Caenorhabditis elegans: one gene and its partner. The protein of the gene in region 2 purifies or fractionates together with the protein of the main gene of each other region. This does not show direct contact. Each region holds a gene or a part of one and is shown on either strand. Other genes may lie near its edges.

Region 1 (16,978 bases), on a different chromosome or scaffold from region 2:
AGCGCATCGAGATTTGCATACTTGTGACCGGGCGGCTTACCTCTTTTCCTCTCCGAGTTTTTGCAGAGAGAGGGAAAAAATTTCCTAGCTTCTTCTTTTTTTCCTTTCTTTTAAAAGTTAAAGGTCAATGGGACCACTACCACCTACAGTTTATTGGATTTCTGAAGGCTCGCGGAGCTTTTGGAGCTGGGAGAGTAGAGGCTTTAAATTAAAAAAGAGCCGAACTTTCAATGTTTGCTTTTGGGGTTGTATAAGAAAAGTGTTCTAGTCTACGTGGAAATGAAGAAAAAGAGCACAAGCTCGAAAGTTCAAAGAGTTACTTAGATTGGCACTTTTGAGGGCCATTTTTGCCGAGTTACAGATCAATAACTTGAAAACTAATAGGATTGCCAGAAAAAGTGATAATTATGAAAATACTTATAACAATATTTTAAACTATTTGTTAGTTGGTAACTTTCTGATAGCTAGTTTGCCCACTGAGATAAAAGAACTTTCAAATGAAAGACCTCTCTTGGCTTAAAATACCCGCAACTCCGCGGAATATAATGTTATCAAAAAACTGGTGAATAACAAAATAATGTACATAAAAATTTCTATTTTTTGTTAGTATTCAATTTTTTATAACTATTGCGGTTGCGGAGTTATGGCAGTTTAAAAATTTAAAGATTTTTTAAAAACTCACTTCACCTACCATACTATTATCGAACACCTATCTCTAACGAAATGCTCACCACAAAATTTCCAATAAATTGTTAGATAAATAGTTTTACAAAACTTTAACGGTGGCCGAGATATAGCTAAAAAAGCACTTTGGGCAGGTGTTCCTCTGCAAAAATGAGAACCTCGGCCACGGCCCTGTCACCCCAAAGTCCGAACGGAAGTATCATGCCTAAAAGGATCCAGATTCAAAGTGACGTTAAACCAAAAAATTCGCAAAAATGGAAAATCTCTGGCAAGGAGGAAATGCAAAACGTCTTCTTTTTTGCATAGTGCTCTTTAAACGGGGGATCACAACACAATGACGTTAAGATATCACAGCAGCAGCAGAAAAATGAGAAAGGTGTGTATTCGCTGAAGAAAGTTCAAGGAGAAGTGATAAAAATTGATCAGAGAGTACTCTGATTTGTGTCAAACAATTATCATGGTATTGGTGTTGACTTTGGCAAAGTGGCCGCGGAAAAAAATTTGGTGGCTAAGTTTTATTTTTACGGCCACAAGGCAATTGTGCGAGTTTTGCAACATGGCCGCGAAAAAAAGTTGGTGGCCGAGTTTTCTGAAATTTGCCCAAAATGATCAATTCTGAAGGATACATTTTTGTGACGGTTAATTTTTTTTCGGAAACGTGACCGCTAAAAAAAACTTGGCCACCAACTTTACAAGCACTTTTTTTGACAAAATATAATTCCAAAAGCGCAAAAAATAGCCAAGAAGTAGGCGGATCCTATTTCAAAAATATATGAGAAACATTTTATGAATGAAACTGTCAGTTGACAAAAAAGTTGAACAAAAACCATTGTTAAAGTTAAAATTACAAAAAAAAATTGAAAAACCATTTAAAAAAAACTGCCAAGAAGTGGGCGGAGCCTATCCGGAGGTTTTATGATTTTTACAAATTCATTATTGCAAAATCTTAAATTGTTCTCTACCAGATAAAACATTTGTATTGCCAAGAGTAAATTCTATATATAATTTTATAAAGTAAAAAAAAGTGTTATACAGACCCCGCTATTATGAGTTTTCATAAAACTTCCTATGTTTTCTTTAATTTTTTTTTCTAAATTTAATTGCGAATTTTTACATAGTAACACATATTAAAACAATGATGATACAAAAATTGGAAAAAAAACCATTGAAACTTCCCAAGACACCCTCCGACAAGAAAAAGTGATTCCAATGCAAATCAGGCATCTCTATTTCTATTTGTTCCCCCACTTTTTCTAGCGACACTCTATAGCCGTGAGAACGTTTTTTCCATTTTTTTTGGAATAAATTTCACAGGTATCCGCTCGTTCCCCGTAAAACTCCAACTCACGTGCATTCTTCAAATGTCTTGTCTGCGCAAGAATCCGTCCGTTTGGTTTAGTATTGATCCAAATGTGAGTGATCGCGTCGCTTTTGCATTTTGAGATTATATCCTGGAAAGTTATTAGTTTTAGGATGGAGAAATTAGGGAAATACTGCAAAAAATTTGATAAATTTAGGATATTCTTTAATTTTTTCTAGAGTTCTAAAGAAAAATGAGACGCTCTAGAGAAAAGTTGAATATGTTGGTTGGCTTTTAAGATATCAGTACACGTTTAGTGAAAAAAAATATATAGAATAACATCTAATAAACATTTTGCAAAAAGCAAAATGGCAAAATCGGCAGATTTGCCGTTCTGAGAAAACTCCGAAAAATTAGAAAATTTCTGATATTTCTAGGAGCACAAATTTTTGAATAACTTGCTGAGGTCGGTCTACATAAAATTAAAAAAAAAAACCAATTTGCAGGGTTTGCGGCAAATTCGAATAATTTGTCGAATTGCTGCACCATACTCCTGCACCATATCTCACAGCTCTTGCTTTTCGCAAGGCTTTATTTCGGGTTATTTTACAGATCTAAAAACCGTCAATTACAAAAATATGAAAACTAATTTAATGAATATTTTGTCAGTTGGCCATTTTTGAATAACCATAAAATTAACCAAGAAAAGGAGTTTTCAAAATTTGTCGATGCACCATGTTTTAAATTTCTATTCGTTGATAGCTCATACATTGGTTCATGTAGCAATTTGTAAAAATATAAAGAAACATCCAATAGACACATTACCATTTGGCAATTTTTTTTCAAAAACTCGTACTAACTGATTGTGAGATATAAGCCCGAAGCCTAGAAGTTTAAGAAAAATCCCAAAAAAAAATCCGGAGGTGGTTATATTCCGTGATTTGAAAAGGCAGGCAGTCAGTTACACGCCCACAAATACACACAAAAAAGAAAAACGGGGGTTGTTGGAAAAATGGCGAAGGCGAGTATGTTTTTCGAACCGAAATTCAATTTTAACCGCCCGTCTCCATCCTCGTCCTCAGAGCTCTTCTCCTATTCTCCGCCCGTGGTTGTTACCCAATTTATGAGAGAAAAAAGGGACAAAAATTTGTGTATGGAATTTTTTTTTTGGAAATTTGGGTCAAAGTTTGAGCTGTCAGGAGGATTTTTGAAACTTGAATAGAATTTGAGAAATTTTTCTATAGATATGATATTTTACAAGACTTTAAATTGAAATTTTGATGTACAAAAGTTTATTAAAAGCGAAAATTTTTGTTGAAAAATTGAAATTTACCGAAAAAATCTAGAAGCGATATTTAAATTTGAAAATTAAATTTTTTTTTCAAACTAGAAATTGGGAAAAATTTGAATGAAATTTATTTTAATTATGTTTATTTTAAATTTACGAAAACTTTCTTAAAATGAAATTTTTTAGATTCTAATATAGAATTTTTAAAAAAATCGATTTTAGAATTGTTGTAAATTTTAGTTGGAATTATTGATGATTTTCACAATTATATTAGTTTGAAAAATTATGAAAAAATTTGAAAAATCTTATTAAAACTTGGAAGTTACCAAAATCACAGAATTCTGAATTTGAAATTTTTTCACAGCGTAAAATGCGAAAAGTTTCGAAAAAAAAGTTTTCTAAACACTCAAATTTGTTCCTAAAAATTTATGTTTTCAGTCAAACACCAGGTATCACAAAAAACATTGCGTGATAGATGATAATTTAGTGATAAGATGAGAGATATCAAATTTTTTTGTAGAAAACCAAGTCAAAACAGATCACTGAAATTTTTAGAGGATCGGGGGAAAATTGGGAAATTTAAAAATACAAATAAAGTGTCCAAAAATTTCAGTTTTCAAAAAAAAAAAGTCTAGTTTCCAAAAAAGTTTCTAAATGGGAAAAAGCTGTGAAAAACTACCAAAGAGGTGTGCTTCGTCCCTCTGGTAACTATTGTCTTCCGGCGGACCTTGTCATGACGTCACAGGAGTGGAGGGAAATAGACTTTATGTACATGGCCGCGGAAATAAAATAATTCGGCCACCAATTTTTTTTTGCTTAAAAACATAAATCACAGAATTTAGCTAATTCCAATATTGTTTTTTTGATAGGTTTTTATACAAAATTCCAAAATTTCAAAGCTCGAAAAAAACATTTAGAGTATTTTTTTGAAAATTATGCGAATTTATTCTGAATTTTTCTGGAGCATTCTGAAACTTTCCAACAAGTTCTAAAGTATTCTCAAATTTTCTGGAACTGTAAAAATCATTTTAGAAATGTTTGAAAATTTTTTAAATTTTTTTCCAAAAATTGTTAGCTCGAAAAAATGTGATGACGTCACTTTGAGGTAGGCTAATACTACGAACGTTATGGGTTGAAGTGAAGCTGCTCCAAAACTGAGCAAGAAAAATATGGAAAAAATAAAATGAAAACGAGGGGAGAGGGCACCGCCCGAGGCGAATCGGCTCCGCAGGTTTATGAAAATCGCCGCCCCCGTCTTTGTGTTTTTCGAACTTCTCTTGGCCAATTTGTCGTTTTTTCAGGACCAACTTTTTTATATGTTGTTTTTTTTCTAAATAGAGAAGCATAAAAATATCCTTAAAAAAGGAGTGAATGGGGTGAAAAAGTTGAAAAAGAGGAGCTTCCGGAGTTGGGGAGAAGGTCCCATGGGAATAAAGATGCTTGTTTGCACTTTTTTGGAGAAAGATTACAAGTGAAGTAGATAAAAAGCTATTCGGCGAATGAAAAAAAAAGGTTTTAAAAATTGGAATTTTTCTGAAATTCCAAATTTCAGAAACTTTTATAACTTTACATCGTCTAGAAGGTATTCATAAAAATTGAAAAAGGCTTCCTCAAAAATATTCCCAGAAATAGAATGTACGGAAAATATGTTTTTTTTTTGGGTTAAAACGTTTTTTTACAAACTTTAGTATAATCTCTGCGATTTTGGGATACTTTTTGAAAAATGGCAAAGTAAAACTAAGTTATTGGGTACTATCTGTTAATAAAAAAAACAGGACTCAAGGTTTAAAATTTTCACAAAGGAAAAAATTCACAAGTGTAAGAATTTACAGAAGATTTGAATTTTTCTCCAGCTTTCTATTCAGTTTCTGAAAAATCATTGAAAAAATTATATGTAGAAATCACGAGAATTTTCTCTTTTCTGAAAATTATATTATTATAATTATGTAAAATTCGGGAATGTTTTGGAATTTTCACAAATTTTCAGATAATTTTTTTTAATTCTAGGAATTTTTGAAAAATTCTGGAAATTTTCTAAACCGGTCTTATACATTTTGAAATTTTTTAAAAACTATCTTTAATTTTTTTTTTTTGGAATTTTCTAAACCGTTCTATAGAACTTACAAAAAATTTTTTAACTTCTGACCACTCTGAAATTTTCTTAATGCTGCCAGAAAACCATTTTGAAAATCAAAAGCTGTGATAAGCTCCGCCCACAAAATGTGCGTGGCAAACAATCCGAATTTCTTACCTTAATTAGAAGACTAATAGCCTCATAAATATCGTTCAGAACTTCGGTCATTTTTTTAAAGCAATTTTTTCAAAATTTGCTCAACCGACCGAGCTTCGAAAAGAAAACCAGAAATCTAGGAGGCAATGGAGTTTAGGAGCCGAAATTTAGACCACGCCTCTTTGCTCCTGAAGTAGGGGGCTCACATGGGATAATTTGGAATTTTTTATTACCAAATGGGCGATATAGTAGCTGTAATTAGAACAATTTAGTTGGTGTTAGAGAAGTTTGGGGAATTTTAAAAATTTGAATATATATTTTTTTTAAATTTTGATAGGATTTTCTAGAAAATTCAAAGAATAATTTGCAATTCAAACTTCAAATTATTTCGAGTTTACAGTCGAAAAAAATTTTTTAATTTCAATTGACACAGTGCCAAAAATGGCGGGAAAAGTTTTTAAATTCGAAAAAAAAACTAGAAATTTGCTGAATTAAAAAAAAACTACTTTTTTTCTATATTTTTCAGTGTTTTTAAAGGAATTTCCAATGTACTTGGTAAAATCAAACCAAATTTCTCAAAAAAATTTTTTTTGCAAATTTTAATTTTTCAACTAATTTTTTTGAAAGTAAGGAAATACCTTTTTAAATAAAAATTAAAACTTTTATACTTTAAAAATAGCCAAGAAATGAGCGGAGCTTATTTTGAAATTTTGAATTTCTTCTTTAAATAAAATTCTTCTTCAAACTGCATATGCATAGTTGGAATGATTTTCAAAACTCAAAAACAAAAAGAAACTAAACCAGTAAACATTTTTCAAATTTGTTTAGGCACTGCCCCTTTCTTGGCTTTTTTTGGCGGGTTTTTACTTTTTTCTGTAATTTTCTCGTTTTTTTTTGAATTTTAGCAATGAAAATAAAAAAAGTTCATAGCCCAACAAGAAATCTACAAGCGTCATAGTTTCCGTTGGTGATTTTTCAAACAAAAAAAAAATTCCGCCTAAACTTTCAAAAATCAAAAATCTCAACACCGCCATAAAAGTCGAAAAGGAAAGGGTAATAATTCGTCGTTGGTCTCTCATAAAATGTGGTGAAGCCGAATAAATGGCCAAGAGCACCAGCAGCAGATTTTGCTCCGTTAAGAGCCAAGAGCCACTGTGATCTTCTAAGATGTGGTCCCATGGGGCCAACTTCTCATACAAAGCTACGACAATTGCCACGTGGCAAAATGTGCTCATCCACTTTTTTACGTCATATTGGTGAGCCATTTTGTAAGCGGAATATTTTAAGGTACACCTATTCGTGAGTAGAACTTTTTGGGAATTGTTTTCATCCCGTGTTTCCAAAAAAGATATTGCCATGAGAGGTTTTTTCAGAGGTTTTCAGAAAATTTGAGTTTTTTTTTTGGGTTTTTGAGACTCGGCCCAATCTTTGGGTGGGATATAGTTAGTCACTTTTGGTTTTTCTGACACTTTTTTTCAGCAAAATTTCTAAAAACTATTAATAAAAAAATTGGAAATTTTTGAAAAAAAAAACTGAATTATTTTTATTTTTCAATTAAAAATATTCAAAAAAAAAAAAAAAAAAACTAACCTCTAATCGCATAGTTGCTTCGACCACAGGTGTCTGATTAAACATGAGCACAATTTGTAGAATTCGGCCCTCGGCAACTGCGGTATCCCAACATTTTTCCCATTCCGGGTAAAGGGTCTTCTTCTTTTGGACTAGTCGGGATTCACCTGGAAAATGATAAATAATTGAATAAAAATTTATTTGTACACATTGAATTCTGAAAAAAAAAACACTTGGGGTTTGAAAATTATTAAAACTATATTTCCTAAAATTAAAAAAAAACTTCTGATTTTTTTAATTGAAAAAATGTTTCGCAAATCATTTTTTGTTTTAATATTGAACTTAAATTATTTATAGTACCAGCCGGTGTCGTTCGAGCCTACGGCTCGACCTCCTCCGACTGACTCAAACTAAAGTTCGAATATCCCTCGGAATTACTTTTTTGGTTTGAATTTAAATGAATTTGATTTTTTTTTGAAATGAAATTTTAAATTTTACGAAAACTTTCAAACTAACGTGAGTTTTGCGTGTTGGCATAGCCTACATTAGACGGAAGAAAACTCTACTTTATATATAGTAAATGATTTTATTGATTTCTCTCTTTTTTTGCAAAAATTATATCAACTGAGAACAATTAATGTCAATTAAAAAAATCTTATTAATTGATATTAAAAATTTTATGCATTAAAAAATCTGTAAAAAAACCAAGAAATGGGCGGAGTCTCTTTCAACTTTTCAACTTTGATATTAAACAGGCCCCTCCCACTTCTTGACTATTCAGTTTTTTCAGTAGCTTTTCTACAATTATTTTAAAATTCACACGAATCGAATTTTTAAAAAAATATTTTAATTGTTATAAAAATTGTTTTTTAGGTAGAGGTTCCCCTTGAACTTAGATTTTTCGAAATTTTTTTCTTTTTCAAAAAAAGCTAATAACTCACCATTCACTTCAATCTTCTCCTTCACATTAACAGCCGGCTGCAAATCAGTTGCTGAACATCCGGCCGGAAGTAAGTCAACTGGAACGTCCGCTCGAAGAAGCTTCAGCCTGCAAAAAAATGGAAAAATGTTTTTTTGGAAGGCTTCCCTGATGTGGTGTGCACTTTTTCAGAGGACAAAAGGACCGAGAGAGGAGAAAATTTGTGATTTTTTTTGGTTTTAGCTGGGCTGAGCAGAGAGACAAAGGGGGAAGGCACTTACTGCTGCAAAGATTCTGTGGGGGTTTTTTCACTGAAATTTTTTTGTCCAAAGTTTGTAGTTTATAGCCTGTGACGTCACATGTTGACTTTAATTTAGGGAATTCCGGAAGGAAAATTAAACTTTAATTTTAAGAATTTTTGTTGTGGAATTTTTTAAACTTGAAAATTTATTAAATTTAGATTTTAAATTTTACTATAAAATTGTTAATAAATTTTTGGCGGAAAAGCAAATTTGATTTAAAAAAACAAAATTCAAATTTTACTTTTTCAGAAATTTTTATAAGACATTACAAAGTTGAGTATTCTTTAATTTAATTTTTTGCAAAAAAAATGGCCCAAAATTATATTCGTCCATATATCAGAATTATGTGGCTGGAAATCATAATTTTTACTATTTCAAAAAGTTTTGGCGAGGAAAATTCTAATTTGAATTTTTTGAGAACTTTGGCAAGAATCTCAAAATTTTTCAATTTTTCAAAAACATCTCTAGCGGAGAATCAAAATTTGGGTGAAATTGTTTTGTTTCAAACTCAAAATTTGCATAATTATCCATGTGATAATTTTCAATTACTCACCGACACGCATTCTCAGCCTGTGCCATCACGAAGTCCGCTTCCAGTGATGTCTCGCTCTCCGGCGGCGGATCCAAAGAGAAGATGTCGATAGCCTGAAAATTAAAAAAAATAATAAAAGGAGTAAACTCAAAAATAGACTGGTACTAGTTATATCATACATAGATTAATTTGAAAAAAAAGTATTAAAAATTTTTTGGAAACTGCGTAGAAGCCGAAAATAGGCTCCGCCCAATTGTTGGGTGATTTTTTAAAAAGAATCAGATGTTTTTTTAATTTTTTAAATAATTTTTTTTTTATATTCATGACTTCAAAAAATTACAAGGCACCATAGTTTAATTAATAAATTAAAAAAAATTAAATCTAGGCTCCGCCCATTTATTGGTTCAAAATTGTATTTTTCTAAAGCTTATTAAACATTTAAATTATTATTTACAATGCGAAAATCTTGCAATTATCATATTTAGCTTTCTAAATCTCTTCTGCAAAAAAATAAAAAGAGCAATGTGCAGTTGTGGCTGGAGAAGAAACGTCATGTCAGGGGTGAAAAAATGCAAAAAAAAACGAAAAAAAGAGAAAGCGACTCGTTAAATGTATTATCTTCAAATTTCGGCTCTGGTAGAGGGAGGGGAGGGCGGATTCGGGTCATGTCAAAAGTTGGGCGAGAAAAGGCCGCCCGGATTTTGGAAATGTATAAGGGGACCCCCGCACCCTTGAATAAAACACTTGAATTGGGAATTGATGAAAAATTTGGAATTTGATTGACAAAATGAGGTCTAGGTCTAGATGAGGTTTTAATCTTTCAAAGAATAGAGTGTAGAGGAAAAAGTCTACTAATTTTTTTAAATTTTTTTTTACAACTTATTAGTGCATAACTCAAAAACCACTGGTCTTATTAGAAAACTGTCAACTAAGAACATAGTCATCACAACATTTTTAATATTTTGGCAATTGGAAACTTTTTGATAGTAGTGATAAATTTCGAAAAATACAGGATTAATCTGTGTGAAAAATTTTAAAATAATAATTCTGAAAAGTTCTGAAAAAATTTTAGCTAAAGTTTTTAAAGTTTTTAGATCATTTTTTGAATCATTTCTAAAATAATTTGTTATTCAATTTCTTCCATAATTTTACGATGACAAAACGGAATTTTTTTTCAAAACTTTTTAAAATAAAATTCTGGAAACTGGAATAAATTTATGTTTTGAAGTTTTAAAAAATTTTTTCTTTTTCAGCAAAAAAAAATTGCAGGTTAGTTTTGTTCCTATTTTTTTTTCCAAAAAAAAATCCTGCTCAAAATTTCAAAAAAAAAATGTTTAAGCTCTTCCTGAAACCACGTAGGTACAAATAAGAAAATAGGAGGTTCCAATTTCAAGGTAGGCAGATAAGTAGTTTGAAAGGCGAGTCTATAATTAAATGGGCTCAATCGAATTGGGCTCGGAGGAGCCGAAATGTAGAGTAGAAACAAGGAAAAATACTCACTTTGCAATTTCAATACTGAAGTTTAGAGCAATAAATACAAAACATTGAGCACGGCATACAAGAACGAAAAAAATCCCGATAAAAACTAGAAAAATTTGTGAAGGAACCAAGAAGTTGGCGGAGCCTATTTTAGGGAAAATTTAAAAAAATTTACAATTAGTTTACGATTGGTTTTTTAGAATCTCTTGGTTTTTTTTTTCAAAATTTTGTATACTGGAAATCTAACCGCGCAAAATCAGAAAATTTCAAAAATATATAAAAGTTCAGGTAATACTTTTTAAATTGGCATAAAACTAAAATTTCAGACAAAAATATCCAGCCAGACAATGAAATCATATCATCGACTATTAGTCACCGACGTCTTGGGAGGCAAATTGACAACAAAAAAAGAAAAAGGTGATAAAAATTTACTGATAAAGGGCATCACGCTGCCCCCCCCCCCCTCCCTCAAATTTCCAAAAAAAAATCCACAGCTTTCAAAACAACAATTTTAATTTATTTCGAAATTTGCTCAATTTCCAAGTGTTCTACAAAAAGAGCAATACGAGGATATTTATCAAGTGTGGGAAAGTTTATCGATAATGGATACCCGAAGAGAAATGGAGACTGCCGACGGACAAGAAATTGACGAACGTATGCAAATAGCGGCGGTGATCGGCGGAGAAACGGCGACAACAAGAAGAAAAGGAACAGTTGGTAATCGGGAAGGGACAAATGATGGGGGACAAAGATTCGTTGAAGACCTAGACAAGGGAAAGGTCGACGCTGGAACTGGTTCTGTAAGGTAAGGAAAAGGGGGAGGGGGGGGGGGGGCCAAGTTTTTACAAAAGTTTGAAGGGAAAACAACTAAAAACCTTAGGTTTTGAATTGAAATTACACGATTTTCCGTACATTTCCGTCAGGTTTAGGTCCTAAATTCAATTAAACAGGCGTTTTTATTTTGGTCGAAAATTTTTTGTGCCAGCCCGCTGGTTTCAAAAATGACCGAAAGTCGAAAAAAATGGAGTGTGGACCAGGCTTATTCATGGGCCTACCTACATACCTACATGCCTACCTATGTGCCTGCTTATATGCCTACCAGGCCTACGCGCTTACCTACAAAAATCCAACGTTTGTCGTGCTTAATATACGCCTACCTATGTGCCTACCTACGTGTGTACCATTATTCCTATCCGCTTGCCTACTTGGCTGGTACGGCAAAATGAAGTGAGAGCAGGGAGAGCGAAAAAAAAACCAAACAACTTCCTACGCCTGCTTTGGTGTCTACTTTTGCCTACATGCCTACTTGCTTACCTATTTGCTTACCTACGTGCCTGCCGACTTTACTAAAATTAAACATTTCAGAGACACGTGGCAAATGCGACTGAAAGGAGTTTTCATTGCGGTTACTGTAATCACCCTATCATACAATATTTTAGCAGGTAAATTTTGCAAAAATTGGTCAAACATCTTTTGCGGGAATTTGAACATTTTAAAAGAAAATTAAATAGTCAAATTACTATCAATTAAAAAAAATTTTGAGCCAAAAACCAACATTTGAAAAAAAACCGAATTTTTTGAATTTTTAGCATTTTCGCTCCAAAACCCAATTCAAAAACCTTAAAACAAGAACCACATTCTAAATTGCACACACAAAAATGCCATTTGCAGCGAGCACACCCCGTCCGTCTCGATTCTCGGTCATCACGAAAATGGCACCCGCGTACTGCCGACTCAATTTGCCTGCGAGACTCCAGAATTTGATACTTGATGTATTTGTTGTGGAATTTAATATTATTAATTGACTACAATCTTTTCCAGAAACACAATGAAATTCGCTCGCAAGTGGCTTTGGGACAGTATGCTGTTGATGATGATTATCTTCCTCCGGCGGATAATATGGTTAAATTGGTGAGTTTTGGCAACTCTATGGGGTTGTTGAGGTTACCGAGGAGTAGCGGAACCCGAAAATTGTCGGGCCCTACCCAAAAAATGTCGGGCGCTACATTAAAAGTGCCGAGCGGAACTAAAAAAATGTCGGGCGCTACATAAAAAGTGTCGTGGAGAGATGCGTGGAACCCGAAAAGTGTCGGTCGCTACTCAAAAATGCCAGGCACAACCGAAAAAATGTCGGTCATAACGCAAGAATTGTCGGAGACAGCGGGGCGGGTCCTTGATTGTTTCGGTCGCTGTCTAAAATGGGTCGAGGAGTGCGGTTCGGAACACAGAAAGTGTCGGAGAATGATGCGCGGAACTTAGAAAGTGTCGGGCGCAACCCGAAATGTGCCGGGCGCTATCCAAAAAGGTGTCGGGCACAATACAAAAACTATCCCGGTTCAAAATTGTAAAATAGAATCGCCAATTTTTGGAAAAAAACTACTCATCAAGAAAGAAATTCGAAAAAAATAAATTCTTTCTTGTAGGATTGGGATTGTGAACTCGAATTGGAGGCTCAACAACGTGCTCAACAATGTAATTTGCAAAAGGAGAATTCGGGTCGACAAATGAATGGATGGGACGAGGTTCGCGGCGAAAATGCCTTCTATTTCCGGACCACCGATGGATTGGACGTTTCGGGGGCCGTTTTGGTGAGTAGTTGAAACACTTTCTCTCTAAAATAAGCAAAAATAAGTGTCAATTTTTTTTCGAATTTTCGAAAAATTCCGTATCTTTCAGCAAATTTTCAATTATTGAGAAGCTAGGAATGTTCAGAAAAATTGGGATTCTATTCTGGAGGAATCCCAAAAAAAATTCCGAAAGTCCTATTTAATTTTCCAGAAAGGAATCCAGAGAATGGGTGATGAGATTGCAATTGCGGGGATCAAGAACTTGAAGCTTTCACGGTACGATAGTCGGATTGGACACGCGACACAGGTAAAATCAATACATGAATTTAGATGTTTTCCTACATTTTAAGCCTAATATCAACTGAAAAACTTGAAAATAGAAATTGAAAATTGAAGTAGTTATGGGAGTTTGAAAATTTTGAATTTTTGTTTAATTTTGTATTTTTGTTGAATTTTTCAAAAATTCGAAATATCCAAATATTACGACTCTCATAAAACTGAAATAAAGACTTTCCTAGCAAGACTGAACTCAAAAGTGTTCAGATCCTATGGAAAGAGACACGAAAACTGGGATGCGCGGTACAAGAGTGCCCGGCTCGACAAGATGGCTCACTCGACGGACAGAAATACAATGTGGCTGTCTGCAAATACTATCCCACGTGAGAATTTTGAAAATTCGAAAGAAAAACGGGAAAAAAAATATGTAAAACATTTTTTTCAAATTTTTTTCGGCAATTTTATTTCCAAATTGTTAGTTGAATATTTATCCAGCTTGATGTCAAAAACTGTGTTTTCCATTTGAAAAATCGATATTATTTGATCAACTGCTAGGTAGAAAATTGAAAAATTAAAAATAATTTCAGCAACAAATTTCTTTAAAAACCTGAAAAAAAGTTCCCGTTTCGAGGCATATTTTCCTTGAAAAAAGATATTTGAAAATATTTATTTAGTCTGAATTGTGTCATTTGACAAGTAGTATTTAAATCCCTTGCCTCCTCAAAAAATTCTAAATTTTCAGTGGAAACGTGTTCAAATCCTCCACACCAACCTCAATCTACTCAGTTGGTGACGTTGCAAGTGCCTGCTCCGAAGGAACCTTTGGGGATCCGTCAACCGGACTTTGTGTGGCTGCCACGTGGCAAGAAGGGTCTAAGGAAAAGTGAACTGAGGGTGTGAAGAGAGAATTATAAAGCAGTTCTCAAGAGACGGAAAATCCAGAAATTGACAGCAATTTTGTAGTAGTCAGAGTAGGGAGGCACGGAGCAAGGGACAGAAAAACGCAAAAAAAAAACAAATAATTCAGATGCATTCCGAACTGCTCTGATTGACTGCGATTTAAGGAGCCTTCTTTTTGCCGTGAATTGCTCTTAAGAGCCAATTCTGAGGCCTATGTTTTATGGATGTATATGGGTGTGAGAAGAGCACCCTGCGATTTTTGCAAAATTATAGGTGTTGGGAGCAGGGCTGGGACTTTTTCGTTTTCGCGTTTTCGTTTTTTCGTTATTTTCGGGGTTTTGACGAAAACGAATTTTTTCGTTTTCGTTTTCGAAAGTGTTCGAAAAACGAAAATAGAACGACTTTATTTAAACTTGGTTTTTTCTCTTTTTTTTTTTTGGAACTATCGCCGAAATTTTGCTCTCCGGTGTGGATAGTATTGAAAAATCAATTATTTTCTCCTCAAACTTATTACTGAAGATCAACTTTAAGAACAAAAAATGCAACAGTTCTCAGTTTTGGATAAAAATTAAACGACTCTTTTACGTCAAAATAGATTCATTCATTTTATGACAGGACGTTTCCTTGTTCAAACGATTTGTTAATTGGTCATTAAAACATACTTTTTTCCGCTGAGTTATATATAGGATGTAGAACTTAATGCCTTTTTCGAAAATAAGGATTCTACTGTAGCTCAATTTTTAATCTGAAATCGTGTTTTGAACATTTTAATTGAAGAAATAACTAATTATGCACTTTTTGACTAATATCTGATTACCGTATATTCTCTATCAGTGCTGCATGTAACACTAATTTCCAGGCGCTTTTCGAATCCAGCACTATTAGAGACTGCAGTACTACTGGAGATGCAGCACTAATAAAGAATATATGGTAATTTGTGAAAAGTTTTCGAATAAAAAGTTTGAAAAAATTTCGACATCGGAAATTGTTTTCAAAACAAAAAAAAACAAAAATTTTCAAGTATCATCAAAAATTTCTTACTATTAGATATTGCAGAAAAAAGTTGTATTTCCTGCTTGAATAAATTTCTAGCCAAATTCAATACTTTCGGTAAGCCAGCCCAACATTCTTTGGAGCTCTGAACAAAGAAACGTGCTATCATATTATTTACATATGCATCTTTTTTGAAAAAGTGAGTTAATGAGCAAAGTAAGTCAATGAGAGAGAATTAAATAAGTATTTGCCAACAAAAAAGCTTTTGAGGCAACATATGGTCTAAAAACCGTAAGTACAGTTTGTGCCATTTTCGTTTTCGTTTTCGTTTTCGTGTTTTAAAACGAAAATTTTCGTTTTCGTTTTCGAAAATGGAATTTCGAAAAAGTCCCAGCCCTGGTTGGGAGATGAGATGAACATGCGATGTGTACTAGCCTGGCAAAGGGAGGGGGAGGTGGCCGATGAAAAAAAAACAATTGATGGCCTAGTTTTCTATAATTGTGGTCACGTAGCCAAGAGATGTTGAAAAAATAATTCAGAAATCTCGTTAAAAACGGAAGATGGAGGGTTTTTTGAGGCAATGGGCTTCACAACATGGTGCATCGACCAAAAAAATGTTCGAGCAACATTGGTGGCCGAGTTTTTTTGTTAGGCACACGTGGTGCCAGGCTGTCCCATCACGATTTAATCTACAAAAAATGCGGGAATTTTTTCCCCAGAAAATGTGACTTCAGCACGTTCTTAACCATGCGAAATCAGTTGAGAAGTCTGCGTCTCGTCTCCCGCATTTTTTGTAGATCACAACGAAATGGGGCATTCTGACACCACGTGTAGGCAGTCATGTATGTATTATGAATCGGGCGGCAATGGTCGTTCGACAAATCCGCAATTTGCCGGTTTGCCAATTTGCCGGAAATTTTCAATTCCGGTAATTTGCGGATTTGTCGGAAATTTTCAATTCCGGCAATTTGCCGGTTTGCCGATTCGCCAGAATTTTTCCATTCCGGCAATTTTCCGATTTACCGATTTGCAAGAAATTTCAATTCCGGCAGTTTGCCGTTTTGACGGAAATTTCAATTTCCGCAATATGCCGATTTGCCGGAAAAAATTGTGCTATGTATTATAGTGGAGAAAGCTCGTTTTCTTGAAGAAATGAACTAATCGCCCTAAAACATGGTGCATCGACTATGAGAAGTGTTTCAGCTAAATTGATGATCGAGTTATTTTTTTATTTTGCCGTCCAGTTAGTTATGGAGCACGGTCAATTAAAAATTAAGGAGAAAATAAATTATGGATCACAGCGCCTCAGATCGGGAGAGAAGAGCTAAAAAAGTGGTTTTGGCGCGGGAGCGCATTTGCTGCAGACGTCGCACGAATTGGAATTAATGTATAGCAAAACAGTAAAATATCGCGTTTTTGCTGGATTTTAGGGATTTTAAAGCAATTTTCAACATGCGGGACCGCCCAGAGACTGTTCGCGATGCGATTTACTTCATTTTAATATAAATTTTTCCCAAAATAAGCTCGAAATGAGCTCTGAATTTCGGCGGATCTGAAAATTTTTTTTGAACAAAAACAGAATTTTGCAAATAAAAATTGATTTTAGAGCAATTTGTTGCATAGATGTTTAATATTAGAATTTTTATTAATAGTTTGAATCTTTCTAAAGAGTTTTAGTCATTAATTTGACTGTAACACAGAAAAATGATTTTTCTTTACAACGAAATCGATAAAAAAGTAAAGCAACATTTATCAAGGGAAATCTTGCAAAATTGGTTGAAAAACTTAAAAAAATCCAAGATTTCACTAGAATAGAGCTATAAATTAATCAAAATCACTAAAAATACAAATAGTTCTGATCAAATTTTAATGTTCTAATCTACCAATGGATCTATGCCACGCCAAATTTCTTATGTAAGGGTTGCTCTCCAATTTTCCT
Region 2 (15,789 bases):
GATCAATTTCCATTTGGATATTATAAATTTTACAATTTACTACGACACATAAATCAATAAAATTTTGAAGAAATGTATAGCTGACTCACTTCTCATCTGACGACGAATCCGACATTTTTTTCGAAATTGAAGAAAAGTGTTCACTTGCGAAAAATGAAAAGTGCGGTGGTTTCCAATGCCAAAATTGAAATGTTTGTTGTTAGTTACGCTCACAACCTGCACTCTCTCACAATTTATTAATATATCACGTTGCCAACAATTTCGTGGTATGAAAAAGAAAATTGAAGTGAAGTGGATGGACTATGAGACAACTTTCAAATATGGGAAAATTTAAAATAAAACAAATGAAAATTCAAATGATCAGGCAGGTGATTTCGCAATTTATTATGTATTCTGACATACACGTTTTCGTAGAAAACACATAAATCAATCTGCACATATTAAACAGACACTTCTAATACTGAAGAAATGAAGCTTGGGTCCAAACACAAATAGAACAAACGTTTAAATGTAATATGCATAAGTTTTTTTTTAACGTAACCTTCTTTTTCTTGATCAAATGTTCAACAAATTCATTTTTGAAATATACGCATTAATCTGAAAGTAGAACGACCTTTAAAGTTCTGAAACCAAATTAATATAGTTAAATTTATTTAAGAACAATAACACAATTTGAACAATTAATTTATTCCAATGAAAATATATAACGAATTTTCAATTTATTCGTTCTCTAAATTTTCTCCAACTACATCAGAATGATTTGCTGTATTATTATTTTTTCCTTCAATGTTACACTTGTGCTGTCCATTTCCATTTGTTTCAGACATTTGAACTTTTGTTTTCTTTCTTAGATCATCTAGTCGTATTAAAACTCCACAAAATACAAACAGATACGGCAGTATTAATTGATTAAATTGATAATTTTTAGCAAGCAACACTTCAGTTTTCAGATCTTTCATCATAATTGTAAGAAGCATTTCTTTTTTGAATAAATTAATTGATATCATATCAGCAATTAACCCATAAACTTTGATTACTATAAAGACCACAATTTCCAATATAACGATAGAGTCTTCATAGGTTAAGGTTTCATTCAAATATCGTAGTCGTACAAAAACAAAACATACTGTAAGAAACATCATTGATAAGTCGATAGGATTGATGACCAGACAGTTTGCAGGGTTCATGTTAGATATAAAATAGAATTGCTTGAAATTTGGCACGAGTTTGATGAGTATGAAATATTTTAAATTGGTGTATACTAAACTGATAAAGACCATGAAAACACGGCTGAAAAAAATGAAGATTATTGTTGAAGGTTTCACTCAAAAACTATTGAAAATATTTGCTATACGGAAGTTTGAAAAGCTATGTCATAAACATTTTTATTGTAAAAACAAAGTTTTCGATTTCCACCTATCAAAATACATAATGCAGAACTCAGACGCTAGGATATGACTTTTTAACAACTCTCGCTCTATTCTTATCATAAAATCATTTCCAGAATAGTTCTCCCAAGTGTTATTTTCACTTACAATTTTATGCTTTTGATGAAAAAACATAGGGTATGACTGAACAACAAAGGTAGAACAACATTATTTGCCATAGTAATGAAGTCTGTGCTCACGTAAAACATCAAACTATAGATATTGACTTTGCTTTCGCTTTCATAATTTTCTGTTCTCAAAAATTGTTTCAAAAGTAGATAAATAGCCGAGATAGTAATGGAACAGCATGACATAATTAATGGAACTTCAAAAATCGACAAGGAGCTTGTTAGCGTTTGTCTTTTTCGGAACCACATTAAAATGTATAAAAGTAAGACTAGAATTGACGTCATAATAAATATTTTATGATTGCAAATGTTAGACATAACTTTTTCTTGGATAAAATACTCCATGATTAAATTAATAAACACAACAAACGTGTTCTTCTAAAATTTCAGATTAAAAAAAGTAAAGATCAACAGCTGGAAAGCTGTTCACGCAAATGGGTTGGGCGGAGCTTTTGAATAAAAGGTTATGAAATAATATCAGCCTTTCTTGTTTGCTGAAAATTATTGGTTGCTTGAGAGAAAATCAGAGGAAAATGGCATTTCTTATTAGAAAAAACAAATGTGTAAGGAAAACTAGCTAAAAGCTTCTAAAATCAAGGTATGCAGTATACTCCATTCTTTATTAGAAGTTGATACCATACAACTGAGCATGTCTAAATCTCATTAGTGGGAACTTTTCTTTCGTGTTTTCATTTGGAAATACGAAAATATGAGTCATGCGAAACACGTGTCAGAAAACTGAAAAACTGAAAAAATTGTAAACTTCAGAGGGAAAAACATAGCCTTTTATTTCGAAAAAAAAATCTCATTACATTTACAAAAATGTTTCTAATTTATAAGTGAAGAAATGACTAGATAATTTCACAGTGGAAATAGAAATCAGAAAATATCGAAGAATTCTGGAGTGAATAAGCGCCTCTCTGAGCTTGGGTAGAGAATGCTGTCTAGAAATATCATTTTCCGAGGCGAAATTCGATGAAGTGAGATGAACTTTTCGGATACAAAAGAGCCATTCTGAAAAAAATCTTTACTTGTGTATTGAATTTATAATTTAATAAAATTTTCTCTCTTCCTACTGGCGCCCTCCACTCCCCCGCGAATCAATTTGTCGCTAATACACAGTTGAAAAGCTCATATATTTTTGTCTATTAGATTCTTAGATTATTTTAATTTTTTCTTTATGCGAATTTTGTTGGTTGTTTTGTTGGTAACAGTCGGGCGGAGGAAAAGGTGGTTGAGACCTTCATAAAATTCCTATTTCTTTGTCGGTAATAGAATGTCACTCATATTTGCTCAGAATATTCACAACAAACAAGATGTCAATATATGAAAATATTTGTTCCCTCTTACCTTTAACGGATAATAATGGTAGGCTTCAGGAATTCCGGGCATCTCACTTGGACGGAACGGTAGAAATCTACAGCTACCATCATTGTCCCTTGTATCAGAAGGCAAAATTCCCATTGAAGCCAAGCATCTCGCTATTCCTCGATCTTCGGCCCAATCATAAGGACATCGTTTCTCATCATGATAAAGATGTTCCACAAAGATCCGAACTGCAGCATTTGATAACAGGTATCCCGCACCACCTGAATTATATCCCCCTTCCTGAAAGAAATAATTTATTTTAATCCTACTAACATTTATTACCAGAAAAGGTTTCATTCTGTATCCCAGAAACAGTGGTTTCGAAGCATCGAGTGTATCTAGATACTCTTTAAGATGATCGATCATAAAATAATTATCATCATCTGCTTTCAAATACCAATCAAAATCTTTCGAAATGTAGGTATACGAGTAATAAAAACTGAGAAGAGTTTTTCTGAAGAGATCGTAGTAGGAATCTTCTAAGTTTCGATAAACTGTGGAAAACGGAATTTTTTCATCAACCAGGGGTGTTTTTAGAAAGAACCGTCCATTGTCACATCTAGGTAACCACGTAGACGCCATAGAAGGCACTCGATCATTGAAATACTTTTTGGAAGTCTCAACAAAGCAGAAAAGTTGGCCAGATGTTGGTAAATCGTATGTAGCTTCTGAATCTTCGATTCCTTGTGTCAATTTGTTTACGTTTCTTGTTCTGAAACTCATCTGGTTTTATTGAAACGGAGTGCAGAAAGAATCGACTCACAAGGAATAATATTCTCGATAAGGATGAATAATTGCAGGAAAATGTGTGTAGAGATCAGCAGGAATTCTGGAATAAAAACGATTTTTGAACATTTCAGAAAATGAAAATTCTTACAAAAAGTTTCGATATAACGGAAAAACTATCAAACTCAATGAAAAAGTTAATAAAAGTGTGTAAAGAGCAATGCGATCCATTTGGTCTGATTCAATTTTTCTCATGGAATATTTCATCTCTGAAACAAAAAGCTTAAGAAATGCATATATTTTAAAGCTTTTCAATGTTAATATAAAGCTCAAAGGACTCACTCAACTTCTGACCGACCACTTTGTTAATTTTTTTTTCAAAATTAGCTAAAATACTTAAAACCTGAATATCGGCTGTCCTTTTTGAAATAATGGGCGCGGCTATGGCATATCCTCAAAGGAGTGATGAATTGTGTTTTTTTACAGATTTGATGTTTAAAAAGTGTCACTTAATGTCTCGAAATAGGTTAAAGATAACCATCTAGACAATTTGAACAAAAAAACCATTTCGGGGATTTATTGGACTTTTAAAGTGTGTAAGTAAGCAAAGAAAGGAAGGCGTAAGAAGAAAAAAGGAATAATATATGTGGTTTGTCAAGAAAATTAACAATAACGATAAAACAATAAGTGTCATCCGGCAGCAATTTGAATCTGGCGGAAATCTGGCTGACTACTGGAGAGAAGACTGTTGTTTATTTGACGTTCATTTACTTGGAAACAAATTTTGGTGAGACCCTGGAAATCCTCAAACAGAAAAATTTACAAATTTACAAAAATTGACCTAAAGACCAGTTCCCAAAGACTACTGCAACTTCCTTTTTTGTGAGTATTCAAAAATTTCAGACCCCAGAACCTGTTTTCTTTCAAGAATAAAACTTTATTTCCGAGAACAAACAGTTTGTCAAAAATTAGCTCATCTTTTCAATTATCATGCGTTTCTGCGAAAAAATCAGTCTGAACATAGAGTTCGCTTCGAGAACATTGTAGTCAATGGAACCATTAATGCCACCAGTATATTGAGGATCAAAAACACTCGCGACTTCTGCAGGATTGTAAATGAAAATTTCGAAAGTTCCTGATACAAATTTAGATGGTTTCCTGAGGGCCTAAAACATAGTATTAAATATTTTTCAAAATATGTTTTAAATAAATATTACTTTTTTGACATTGCTGGCGTCCGTTTTCGAAAATTGCGTTAGCAACAGTTGGAAGTGTTCAAAATGAAATAAATTTTCCATCTCTTTTGGCAAAGTACAGTATCCAGTAATTTCAAGAGATTTTGCTTTATTCCACTGCTCCGATGTCGTCACGAGGTCGGTCAAATCATCTGTCACCTGATACGAATGCAGTCGAATATTTTCAAGAACTCCAGGTTGAAAATGTTGAAAAACTACTGGAAGTTCGGAGAAAAGATATCCAAGTAGATGAATATGTTTTACGGGAAGAGGCTTCATTGTCTGCAGTATGTTTTCGATATCTTGCAACGAATTTAAACGAGTCCGACCTCCAGACAGCAAGCATATGTAGAGTTCGTTTAGACGAAGTTTTGGTTTTGTAATTATTGCTCTCCAGTCATTAAGAATTATATCCGAATAATAATATTTTTCAATTGTCTTTTTCCGAAGTTCGTGTTTTTCTTCATCGAGAAGCTTCAGCTGACAGGACTTTCCCGTTTTTGAGCATATAATTTCATATTTGTCTACCATTAAACGAGCCCAATCGGCAGTGAAATCGATTCGAAGAAATGCTATACCAGGATTCATGTTGTTTACGAATTCTCGTAGCTTTCTTGAAACTTTTTGAAGTACAAGTCTGGAAGATTATTTCTTTGGTGATGTCTTTGGGTGTGATGTACGATTGTTCAATATTTAAAAAATTGAAACACGAAAAATTTTCAATAATTTCCTGTCATTTCTATTTATTTTTTTAATAGATTATAATCATTTACTTTTTTTCCTGTACTTCTTTTCCGATTTTTTCGGGTAATCCTTTTCAATTTTTGATTTTTTGAATTCAAAATGTTTCGATTATACACTACTAAGCAAGTTATTGTTTAAGAATTTTCAAAATAAGAAACTAGAAGGGCACATTGACTGTGAATAACTAACCGGTTTATTGGTTCCAACTTGTTCACTACTTCAGTCAGAATTTCAATTGGCATATTGGAAAACGTTGGCTCTTCTCGTGGGCTGAAATTAAAATATCAAACACAATGATTTCTAATTGAAAGGCAATCGAGAAAATTATAATTCACTTATTTTTTGAATTCCTCACTCACAATTTCACCGATGTCATCATATTGGTTATTTCAGCAGTTTCTTGCAAGCAACCACCCAAAGTATTTTCTTTTTTGTCCGTCATTTCTGGAATTGCAGAAAAAGGCAATTATTTTAATTTTAGACACAAAAAAACCAAACGAGAACAATGTGTGTCATGAAATTCAAACTGTTTCGAACTTTATCAGCTCGGTTGACGCCTCTCAATGTTAGTCAATACAGCACAATGATGACATCATTCAGATCAAAAGTTCATTCAAACGATGGAAATTCAAATAGAAATTTTTATAGTATTAATGGAAAATTTGTCAAACTCTGTGAAGACAAACAAACAATTTAGTCACAGTTCAACTCTCCACCACGGCCAAATTTTTTCCATCCAAAAAAAAAGGGAAAAGAAAAAAAAAAGGGCCGGAAAAAACAAACAAACAATTTAGTCACAGGCAACAAGATCAAATATTTTCGAACTATTGTAGTAAGAACACAAGGCTCCATACATTACTTTACAAAACTTTTGTGAGAACCATACTTGAATATGGTACCGAAGTAAGTAATCCGTTGAAAAAACAAGATATTAAAGCAATTGAATCCGTACAAAACTCGTTCACAAGGAAACTATACAGCAGGCAAAAGGGAAAATACATCAGAACAGATGACCCCGACTATAAGAGCGCTATTCAACGTAATGAACTATTTAACTTATCAACTTTAGAGGCTCGGCGTAAAGCTATTGATAAAGTTTTCTTGTCGAAAATGCTAGTGAACAAAGTTGATATTGACTCTGACCAATTTTTCAAAATAGACAAAAATAGTAAAACTCGTACCAAAACCAAGTTCATCTGGGGGAAATGCAAAACCAAACTACGAAGGCACTTTTTCACAAATAGAGTATTAAGTTCTATAAAAAATTAGCGCAATGAATCTTATTTTGGCACCTCATGTCCTATGCATGTTTAATACTTTTACGTCCACTACTTTCATGTTACCCATTATTCATCTCTCTGACACCCGCACATTCATGTACCAACTCTAAATATTGGATGCTTTTAATGCCCTTTGTAGACAAATCAATGGGAAAATTGTCAATTTCTGAAGGCAGTAATTCTCAAAATCTTCTGTTCTCTAAATATTGGGTGCTTTTCGATGCCCTTTGTAGACAAATCAGTGGGAAAATCATCAATTTCTGAAGGCAGTAATTCTCAAAATTTTCTGTTCTCTAAATATTGGGTGCTTTTCGATGCCCTTTGTAGACAAATCAGTGGGAAAATCATCAATTAAACAAACAAACAATTTAGTCACAGTTCAACTCTCCACCACGGACACATTTTTTTCCATCCAAAAAAAAAGGGAAAAGAAAAAAAAAGGGCCGGAAAAAACAAACAAACAATTTAGTCACAGTTAAACTCTCCACCACGGCCAAATTTTTTTCCATCCAAAAAAAAAGGGCAAAGAAATAAAAAAAAAAGGGCGGGAAAAAACAAAGCCTTGGACGTGGTTGATTGTTGCCACACTGTAAAGTTCCCGGCCCTTGAAATACGTAAAGCGATGTTTGTGTATTTATTAAAAGAAACTATTATTAGTATCATTAATATAAAGAGATTTGAATTATTCAAATTAAATTGACCGGAGTAACTTGACTGTTTCCAGTTGCCTTCTTACATCCCAGTTTGTCGATAAACCATGAACATTGGAACGAGCATTTTACTTCCTTGTTAATAGAAAGAAAAATTACAGAATTTGATGAGCAGTTAAGTATAATCATTGCTGGTATGATTGCGTGTGGTTGAAACTTTTTGTCAGGAATTATATACTGCAGTATTTCAAATATAACCCAAGTGGTGATATAGAAAACTGAAGTGAACATAAATTGGAGAAGGTACCTGAAAAAAGTTAATCCAGCACTTGCCAATCTTGCCGTTTGGAACCGGTTGTCTAAGCTGAGATAAACTAAACGTATCAGTTTTTGCTTGCCGTTTAAATGTTATTCCCTTTTGTAAACTTATTTCCCCCACTTGATGCCCCAAACTATATTGGTTCATACGCTCTTTTTTTTTAATTTAGTGGTTGTCTTGTTGGGATTTTATTAATCGATGTTTCCAAAAAGTCAGTCTGAACATTTATCAGTGAATTTCGTTGTTTGGATTGCCACATAATTTTTCGTAGAATTGAGTCGTTTATTTGAACAATTTTTTTAAAGGAGAAGTATCAATAAATACACTTTCAATAATTAACAGGAAAACATTTTAGAATTTTCAAAATTTTCCAGACAAAGATTTGGTAAATGTTCATTCCGTGCTTACCGAATCTCTTGTTTTCTTCTTTGCTTTTGAATTTGGGTAGACACTTTCTTGTTTGAATTCCGAATTGATATGAACACCCCAATGTAGCAAAATATTGAAATAGACGTACAAATACTATCGTATACAAGGAACATGGAATTTGTATATGAGTGCACCCCATTTATTGTTACTAGCTCCAAAGCCATGACTGTGTAATCGATTACAAATCTAAAACTGTTTTGTTTTTATTGCAGACTGGAACGCAACAAACTTACACGCAGCATGGAAACAAGTATTGTGCGCAAGCAGCAGAAAACAAAGCAGCTGAGATAAGAACAGTCATCATGAGCATCGTTTTATTGAATGTGAAGATGTTGTGATTGTTAAATGTTATCACGAGAAATCTTGAACCAGAAAATTAACGCTAGAGCAGCGCAAGCGGGGTTAAAAAACGAAAGAATTGGTTAAAAAACGAAAGAATTTTTTCACTCGGTCTTCTTAATTTGTTTTTCCTCCCCCACTCATTTGTTTAATATATTGATTTTTGTCTAATATTGTGTTTGAAATTTGAATAGTTGAAAATGAAAACAAATAAATAAATTTAAAAGTGTCAAATCTCACAGTCAAACATTCAAAAAATATGTGCGATAGAAAAAAATTCACATGTAACTTTATAGTTGACATCTTGGGTTTTCAGAATCTGTAACTTTTTTTGGGCAAAACACCTCTGTAAGCCTGAAAATTTTTTATTGAAAATTTAGTGCTGAATGCATAAATCTGAATCCAACTCACAGGGGTGTTTTGCCGGAACAAATTACAGATTCTGAAAGCACAAGATGTAAACTTTAAAATAACATGCAAAAAGTGAAAACTAACCGATTTATAGCCATCGTTGGTTGAAGTAGGTTTTCCATAAACCAGCCAGAGAGAAATATGAACCCAAAAAAGACGCTCAATCTTCCAACTTTGTCTCCTGCTATCGCATATTGCTGAATAAAAAAGACGTTTACAAATTTAATAATAAACTTACATCGATAATTATTGAAAGTGAAAAGTAGAAGCAGAGATAAAATAGTTGCAACAAATCAGAAATGATGTTGAAAAATGCAATAACGTATATTGAACTTTTTCTCGAAATGAATGCGAGTTTAAACACTGAAATAAATATTGAGACGCTTGAGAATATTGAAAAAATAGAAGATGAAAATAATACAACTCCAACAAGCTTTTTCACAAACATTATTTGTGAATGATTATGGCACTGAATGTATCTCAATTTGAATCTCACATTGTTTATGCGGATATAGAATCCAATTTACTGATTTCCTCTATGTCTAGTCGTTAATAGTTACGCAATAATTACCTATATGTACATTAAACATATTTTTCCGGGAAACATATGGCAATATTAGATAAATACTGTAAATTCTTGCCATTAGCCAATCCAAATGGGGATTTCAAGAAAATGACCCACTTGTCATGAACTTTCACATTTGAATTTTTTACCCACGATTAGATTTACAAAATATTTGCGACCTTAAAAACTTTTCATACAATTTTTTATTTTGTTTAAGAATAATTATGAATTCTGGTGAGGTCATATCGAGTTTACCACATCGGGCAATCATTAAATTGAATTGTATCATATATTCCATTTGGAAAGGTTGTTTCCTAAAAAAAGAATACTAATTAAATTGAGATTACAATATCTGTGCGAACTTCTGTTTTTCATTCTAAACCTGAGATTCGTTTTTCCGTTCAAAACTTATTTTCGAAGAATAGGAAAAATAAATTTTCCTGTGATATTTCTGATTTGATTTGAGATGCTAGTTTGGTTCCGTGAACAAAGGTTTAGTCATTCAGCCAATGCTATATTAATTTATAGATTTATAACGATATATTACATATAAGCATTCTGTGAACAGCAAAACAACGAACACATTTATAAGCGGTATACTGTGAGTTTGCGCGGTTTTTTAATATTAACAATTTTGACATACATATATAATTCAAGTACATCATTGTTAGGCACGGAGTTTCAGAATCTGAAGTTTTGTTTCGAAATCTATCTAATGGGGTTATTCAAGTAGTGTCGTGAAATTAAAAAGTGTATTTCAATACACTTTTTGTCTTATTCAAGTAACTTCAAAAACATTTCAATACAGTTTGTGACGTAATTTCGTGACATTTCTCGACATTTCTCGACACATTTTCCACAGTGGTTTTATCAGAATTGTTCTCCTGCGACGGCAAATTGTGTAGATTTTCACCCTGCGGTACACCTTTCTCTGTGTTTTTCATTCAGTTGTCCGCTTTTGTCGCATAATGTCGAGAAATGTCGCGAAATTACTTCACAAACTGTATTGAAATACATGTTTTTCATGTTACTTGAATAAGGCAAAAAGTGTACTGAAATACACTTTTTAATTTCACGACACTACTTGAATAACCCCATAAAACAATACAGTTTCAAAATAAACGTTGTCCATTTCCTTTTTCTTCATTTTTTTTTGTTTTTTTCGTGTCGATTTTTTTAAAAGTTTTTATGTACTGAACAACCACAACTAAAATGCATAACCTTTCAGTGAATAAACGTTTGCTCCAAATTTTAATAAAAGTTTTGACTTTTGATTATGAACCAGTGTGTTAATTTTTTTGGAAAACGTGCTGACTTAACTTGAAAACAAAGTGGGATATAAAGAAGACATGTATTTTTTTGGTGTATTCATTACAGTTACAGCAATTGGTCGCGCATTTATAACAATATTCTTTTGCACAAAATTACTGCTAGACATATTTTGGTAGCCACTGCCCATATCAACATTTTTCCATCATTTAAAAATCTATTTTCAGGTTTAAAAAACTCAAGAAATCACATGATTTGACCCTTTTCTATTTTCGATTTTTGTTGGACATAGTATTCAGTACTATAAGTATGTGCAAAGCTTTTATTAAAAAATCATCGAAACTCTTTCAGTTATATTTTTTCTTGGTTCAATTTTGATTACTATGGCCAAATTCCAAGAGCTCTCCCATATTGTAGAAATTTCAATGTTTTTCATATTCTGGGCAAGATATATAACAGGATCTACTAGATCCATTCTGGCTCTTTTAATTGCAACTGATAGAACATGGGTTAGTTGTAAAGGATATTTACTCCGGAGTTCCCAGTAGTAACAGGTTCATTTTGGAGTGGCGCTCTCTCTTTTAGGTCTCAGTAGATCTCGCCAATCCAAAATGAAGCCGCGATTCCAAAATGAACCTATTACTACTGTTCCCCATGTCACTTGTTTTCAGTTTTTTTTTTGTATTTTTTGAAACGAAAATCTGCATTAGAAAAGTATAAATTATTCTTTCAGGCCGCGTATTTCCCTGTTTGGTTTTTCAATTATCGAAATTATATTTGAAGCAAGTTCATCATTATCATCGTCTTCATATATCCTTTCATAGATGGATCAGTGCTATTTATCTATTGTCAAAATGCCATAGAAATTTCTCCGGGATGCAAAAATGCAGCATGTGTTATGTCTGATTGTTACTTGCTTTATTGGCTGGCTTACGAAAAAGTTATTAAAGTTTTTCATGACAAGAAAAAACGAAATTATTGCAGATTGTGTACACTATAATCATCGTTTTGTCGTTGTTATTGTCTTTAAAATTATACGTCTGGAACAGGTATAAAAACGTGACAATCAGCTGGGAGATTAAAAGAGTATGTTCTTAAGCTTATGAAATTGCATAAAAAAATAAGTATTTTCAGGTAAATCGTCTTGCCTTAATTGACACATGCACAAATCTAATATTTGGATTGATACCGCCATTTCTTGTAACATATACTCGCAGCACGTTTGATCATGCAGGGCCCTTAAATACGTCACTAAAGATTTTGGGATATTCTTTAGAGTCTTATCTGGTTTCTGTGAATTTAAGAAAAAATAGAATTACAAATAACGCGCAACAGAGTGGAATGTTTGCTGATTCCAATTAGTTTGTGCAAGGCTCGAAATTGATTCTTTTTAAATCTTAAATAAAGTTTTTGAATCTCAAAAATTCGACTATCGGCGGTTTGTAGATTTTTTCAATCAACTGTTTGAAAAATTTCAATGGTAATTGTTAGGACTATTTTTGGATTATGTAGTTGAAAATTTCATAAGAAAACTCCAATGGCGTATGAAATTGTTCAAAATTATTCTTTATTTTCTCACTATCAGAAAATTTGAGCTCAGAAAGCTTGTCAAAAAGTATCGAGACCCATTTTTTGGGAATTTAATCACAGAAAGGAAAAAAAAAACATTATCAATTCATTCCCTTTTCAACGGCACTGATCCAAACATTGTCTTTGGTTCGTTTCTCGAGATAAGGCTTCAAGTTTGGTCTTTGCCACATCCGCTCCCAAAATGCCTTCAAAGCTGGAAACTTGTCCAAAATCTTTCCATCCAAAACGTGATAGATATCTAATTCTTCAAAGAGTATATAGTCGGTGTAACTAAGTTTGTTGCCAATAATAAAGTCTCCGGGGTGAATTTCAAATTGGCATTCCAATCTTTCCAAAGATTCTGGAAGGGTCTTGTTGACCATGTCTTCACGACTTCCCTCGTCAAAATAAACGTAACGAATATATTTCAAACGAACATCACGAATCGCATCAAAAAGCATATCTAGAAAAGTCGCTTCTTGTTCATTGGATCCGTTCAGCTCTGCAAATCTATTTTAACAGTTGCACACAACAAATAAACCAACTATGAACTCTTCCCAGGTGTCGCATAATTGCTCCAGCTTGCACAATTTCTTGCCCATCAACTTTATAACATGGAACTTGCCCGAACTTCATTGTTTTCTTAAGCTCTGCCCATTCGTTGCTTTGCCATGGGAAGCGAATATCTTCAAATTTGATACCATTATCAATTAGTAGAAGACGGATGTACTCCCCATATCCTGAAATAATTATCATAAATATTCCAAGCAAAAAAACAACGGCTGTCTGATTGGCTTCAAGACAACTCACGACTAAAATAATAAAATAAAAACTTACCGCGGATTGAAAAATAGTATAGTTTTGGCACTGTCATTGCCTTCTCTTAATGTTTTCTCGATCATTGCATGGGCTTTTATACGGTTTTTCTGATTGTAATTGTTTGGCCATGCGAATTTAGTTAACTTTCGCAGATTAAAAGAACGGAAACAAGTTTGGCCTGTCAAAATAAACACTCAAAGTAAATTTCAAATTTGATGTAAACAATTAGTGCAGTGGTGCGATGAAAAAACTAATGAGTTTTTGGAGATCCAAGTTCTTGTAGATTGTTCTGTTTGAGTAAATAAGTTGTTTGTGCGAACTTTTTAATGATTAACTGAAGTTTATTGCCGTTAAAAGTCCAAATACATTGAAAGTTGTGTAAATCTGAAAAAACGACCGAATTATCACAAAAAAAAGTTAAATTTTCATGTAAATTCTTTTAAGTTCTATCCGGTTAAAAACTTTTTGTGAAATGAAAATAGATGTTATGCTAAACTCTTTGTATCAAAATAAAAAGGTGACAAAAACACCGTATCTGTAACTGATTTTTCAAAAAAATTTATTTAGTTCAAACTCGAAAAAAAAACCAATTCTGATGCTACGAGATCTAATATTGCATGTTGAAAATTAAATTAAACATTATTGAGAAATTACATGTGAATTTAAACAATTATTTCCCCAAAAGCATTCCAATGAGTCCAGGTCGATACATTGGACCATAGCCACCGTAGCCTCCATACCCTCCATATGGACTGTAACCTCCATACATTCCTGGATGCCCATAGTTCTGATAGCCCCCATATGGATATCCACCATATCCACCATAAGGGTATCCACCTCCATAGTAACCGCCTAAATTTTTTACATTTTTCTGAAATAAGAAAAAAATCAAATTACCGTATTGCGCAAAAGACACAGAGAGTAAAGCTAGTAATACAAAGAAGCGGATCATGATGAACGAAATCTGTTAGATTACTAAACTAGCGGCTTATATACATGACATGGTTTATTGGTCAGTTTGACGAACAGGACGTTATCTGGTTAAGCTGCCAGAAGGAGACGATTGTTAATCATTTGACTTGTTTGTGACTTGTTGGTGTCCACCTATGTAGTTGATGATGACATACATCTGAACTTCGGATTAATATGGAAAAATTGTTACTGTCGCGGGCTAATAAGAGAGATCATGATCAACTAGATATTAGTTGGTGCTAACTGGGATGTACTGTAAAATGTTCACTATCGGGAACATTTTTCGAATTCGTTTTTTTATTGATGCGTTCACTTTCGCAGTACAAATATTAAGATTTCAACATTTCTAACTATTTCATACTACATACATAGGAAATAGAACCAATAGACAAGAAATTTGAAGAATATCACCAAAATCTACGTTGACAATGCTCTGCTGCGATTTTATAAACTTTCAGAGTGGCACCTACAATAATTCCTTCTACTGTAAATTCACAGAGGGCTATACAAAAATGAAATATCCAATGCCCGATTGTTCAGAAAAAATTATTGTTTGTTATGTCAGTTTCATAAATTTTGAAATCCCTCAAGACTAATTACTATGAAAAATATCACAACTCCCTTATATTTTATGTCAGCCTGAAAATATTACTATACAAATTGTAATATCGTATCATTTAGTATGAATGCTGAAAATCAAACTACTTTTGCATTAATACCAGTAAGTAGATCTTTGTGACTGTCTGAATAAAAAACTGAATTAAAGATAACATTCATTGGATCAGTTTTAAATTTCTCTATTTTAATTGCCATTTATAAACTTCCGGCATTGAATAACTCATTTGGATACCTCACTGCAAATCAAGCAATTGTAGATGCCCTTCATTCGGTTATTTTCTTGCTATACTTTTGCCCAATGGTCATTTTGTGAGTCAAATTATCACAAAAATTGAGGAAACATTAAATTAAGGGACCAACCAATAATGAAGAGTTACTCGTTTATCGTGGGATGTTTCCTTCTTTTCTGTTATGAACTTTCAGTTTTAACACATTTTTTGATATCTATCAATAGATTTTGCGCTGTTTGGGTACCACTCAAATACGAAAAATGGTTCAGCAGAAAGAATACATCAAGCATCATTATCCTGTTGTGGATTTTTGAAGTGGCTCTAGCAATTGTTTTTTACCAGAGTAAGTTATAAATGTCGAGGTTCATACGGAATAGGATAACCCGTCTTGAAAAAGATATACTTGCTATAATAAAGTTATCTTTTTTTTCGAGCTTACTGATGAAATTCAGAGTATAAAGCCATTTCTGAATACTTTAGCTTTGAGAAGCATACAAGACAAATATGAAAATTTAGCTAAAATTCATGCTAAAAAAAGAAAATAATAATAATAAATGTTCAATAGTTCTCTGCCACGTGGCTTACTTGGAAGAGATTCATTTTATTCAATTTACTAACACTAAATTCTGTGGCTTTGTTGCTTGGTATGATGATTTTGTGAAAAATTCTGTAATTATCGCAATAGTTGTTT

What was found.
Region 1: the proteins of fbxa-105 (region 2) and tpa-1 fractionate together in Caenorhabditis elegans (co-fractionation; one large-scale study listed by BioGRID). This does not show direct contact.

The regions. Positions count from the first base shown.
Region 1 is NC_003282.8:83,945-100,922, reverse strand, and holds the start of tpa-1 (Protein kinase C-like 1), read right to left. Parts: upstream 8,944-16,978; 5' UTR 8,872-8,943; coding exon 8,846-8,871; intron 8,302-8,845; exon of another isoform or gene 8,272-8,301; intron 8,120-8,271; coding exon 8,013-8,119; intron 7,239-8,012; coding exon 7,093-7,238; intron 2,136-7,092; coding exon 2,033-2,135; intron 1-2,032. Other genes in the region: scl-23 (SCP domain-containing protein), read left to right, coding at 10,906-11,108, 11,669-11,745, 11,975-12,075, 12,125-12,214, 12,727-12,891, 13,082-13,177, 13,414-13,529, 13,889-14,033. UniProt on the Caenorhabditis elegans protein: Diacylglycerol (DAG)-dependent serine/threonine-protein kinase that phosphorylates a range of cellular proteins. Phosphorylates mlk-1, a component of the JNK pathway. Involved in axon regeneration after injury probably by activating the JNK pathway.
Region 2 is NC_003283.11:7,385,956-7,401,744, forward strand, and holds fbxa-105 (F-box domain-containing protein), read right to left. Parts: upstream 6,075-15,789; 5' UTR 6,071-6,074; coding exon 5,988-6,070; intron 5,899-5,987; coding exon 5,818-5,898; intron 5,522-5,817; coding exon 4,867-5,521; intron 4,816-4,866; coding exon 4,618-4,815; 3' UTR 4,574-4,617; downstream 1-4,573. Other genes in the region: srp-6 (Serpin domain-containing protein), read right to left, coding at 90-115; C02H6.3 (G_PROTEIN_RECEP_F1_2 domain-containing protein), read right to left, coding at 720-1,290, 1,536-1,900; C02H6.1 (N-acetylgalactosaminide beta-1,3-galactosyltransferase), read right to left, coding at 2,435-2,569, 2,906-3,163, 3,206-3,635, 3,687-3,752, 3,801-3,916; srx-9 (7TM GPCR serpentine receptor class x (Srx) domain-containing protein), read right to left, coding at 7,595-7,865, 8,286-8,492, 8,540-8,668, 9,141-9,253, 9,295-9,504; gst-41 (glutathione transferase), read right to left, coding at 12,561-12,961, 13,005-13,199, 13,297-13,333; cnc-9 (CaeNaCin (Caenorhabditis bacteriocin)), read right to left, coding at 13,949-14,130, 14,176-14,230; srx-60 (G-protein coupled receptors family 1 profile domain-containing protein), read left to right, coding at 14,933-14,971, 15,017-15,177, 15,221-15,441, 15,664-15,789.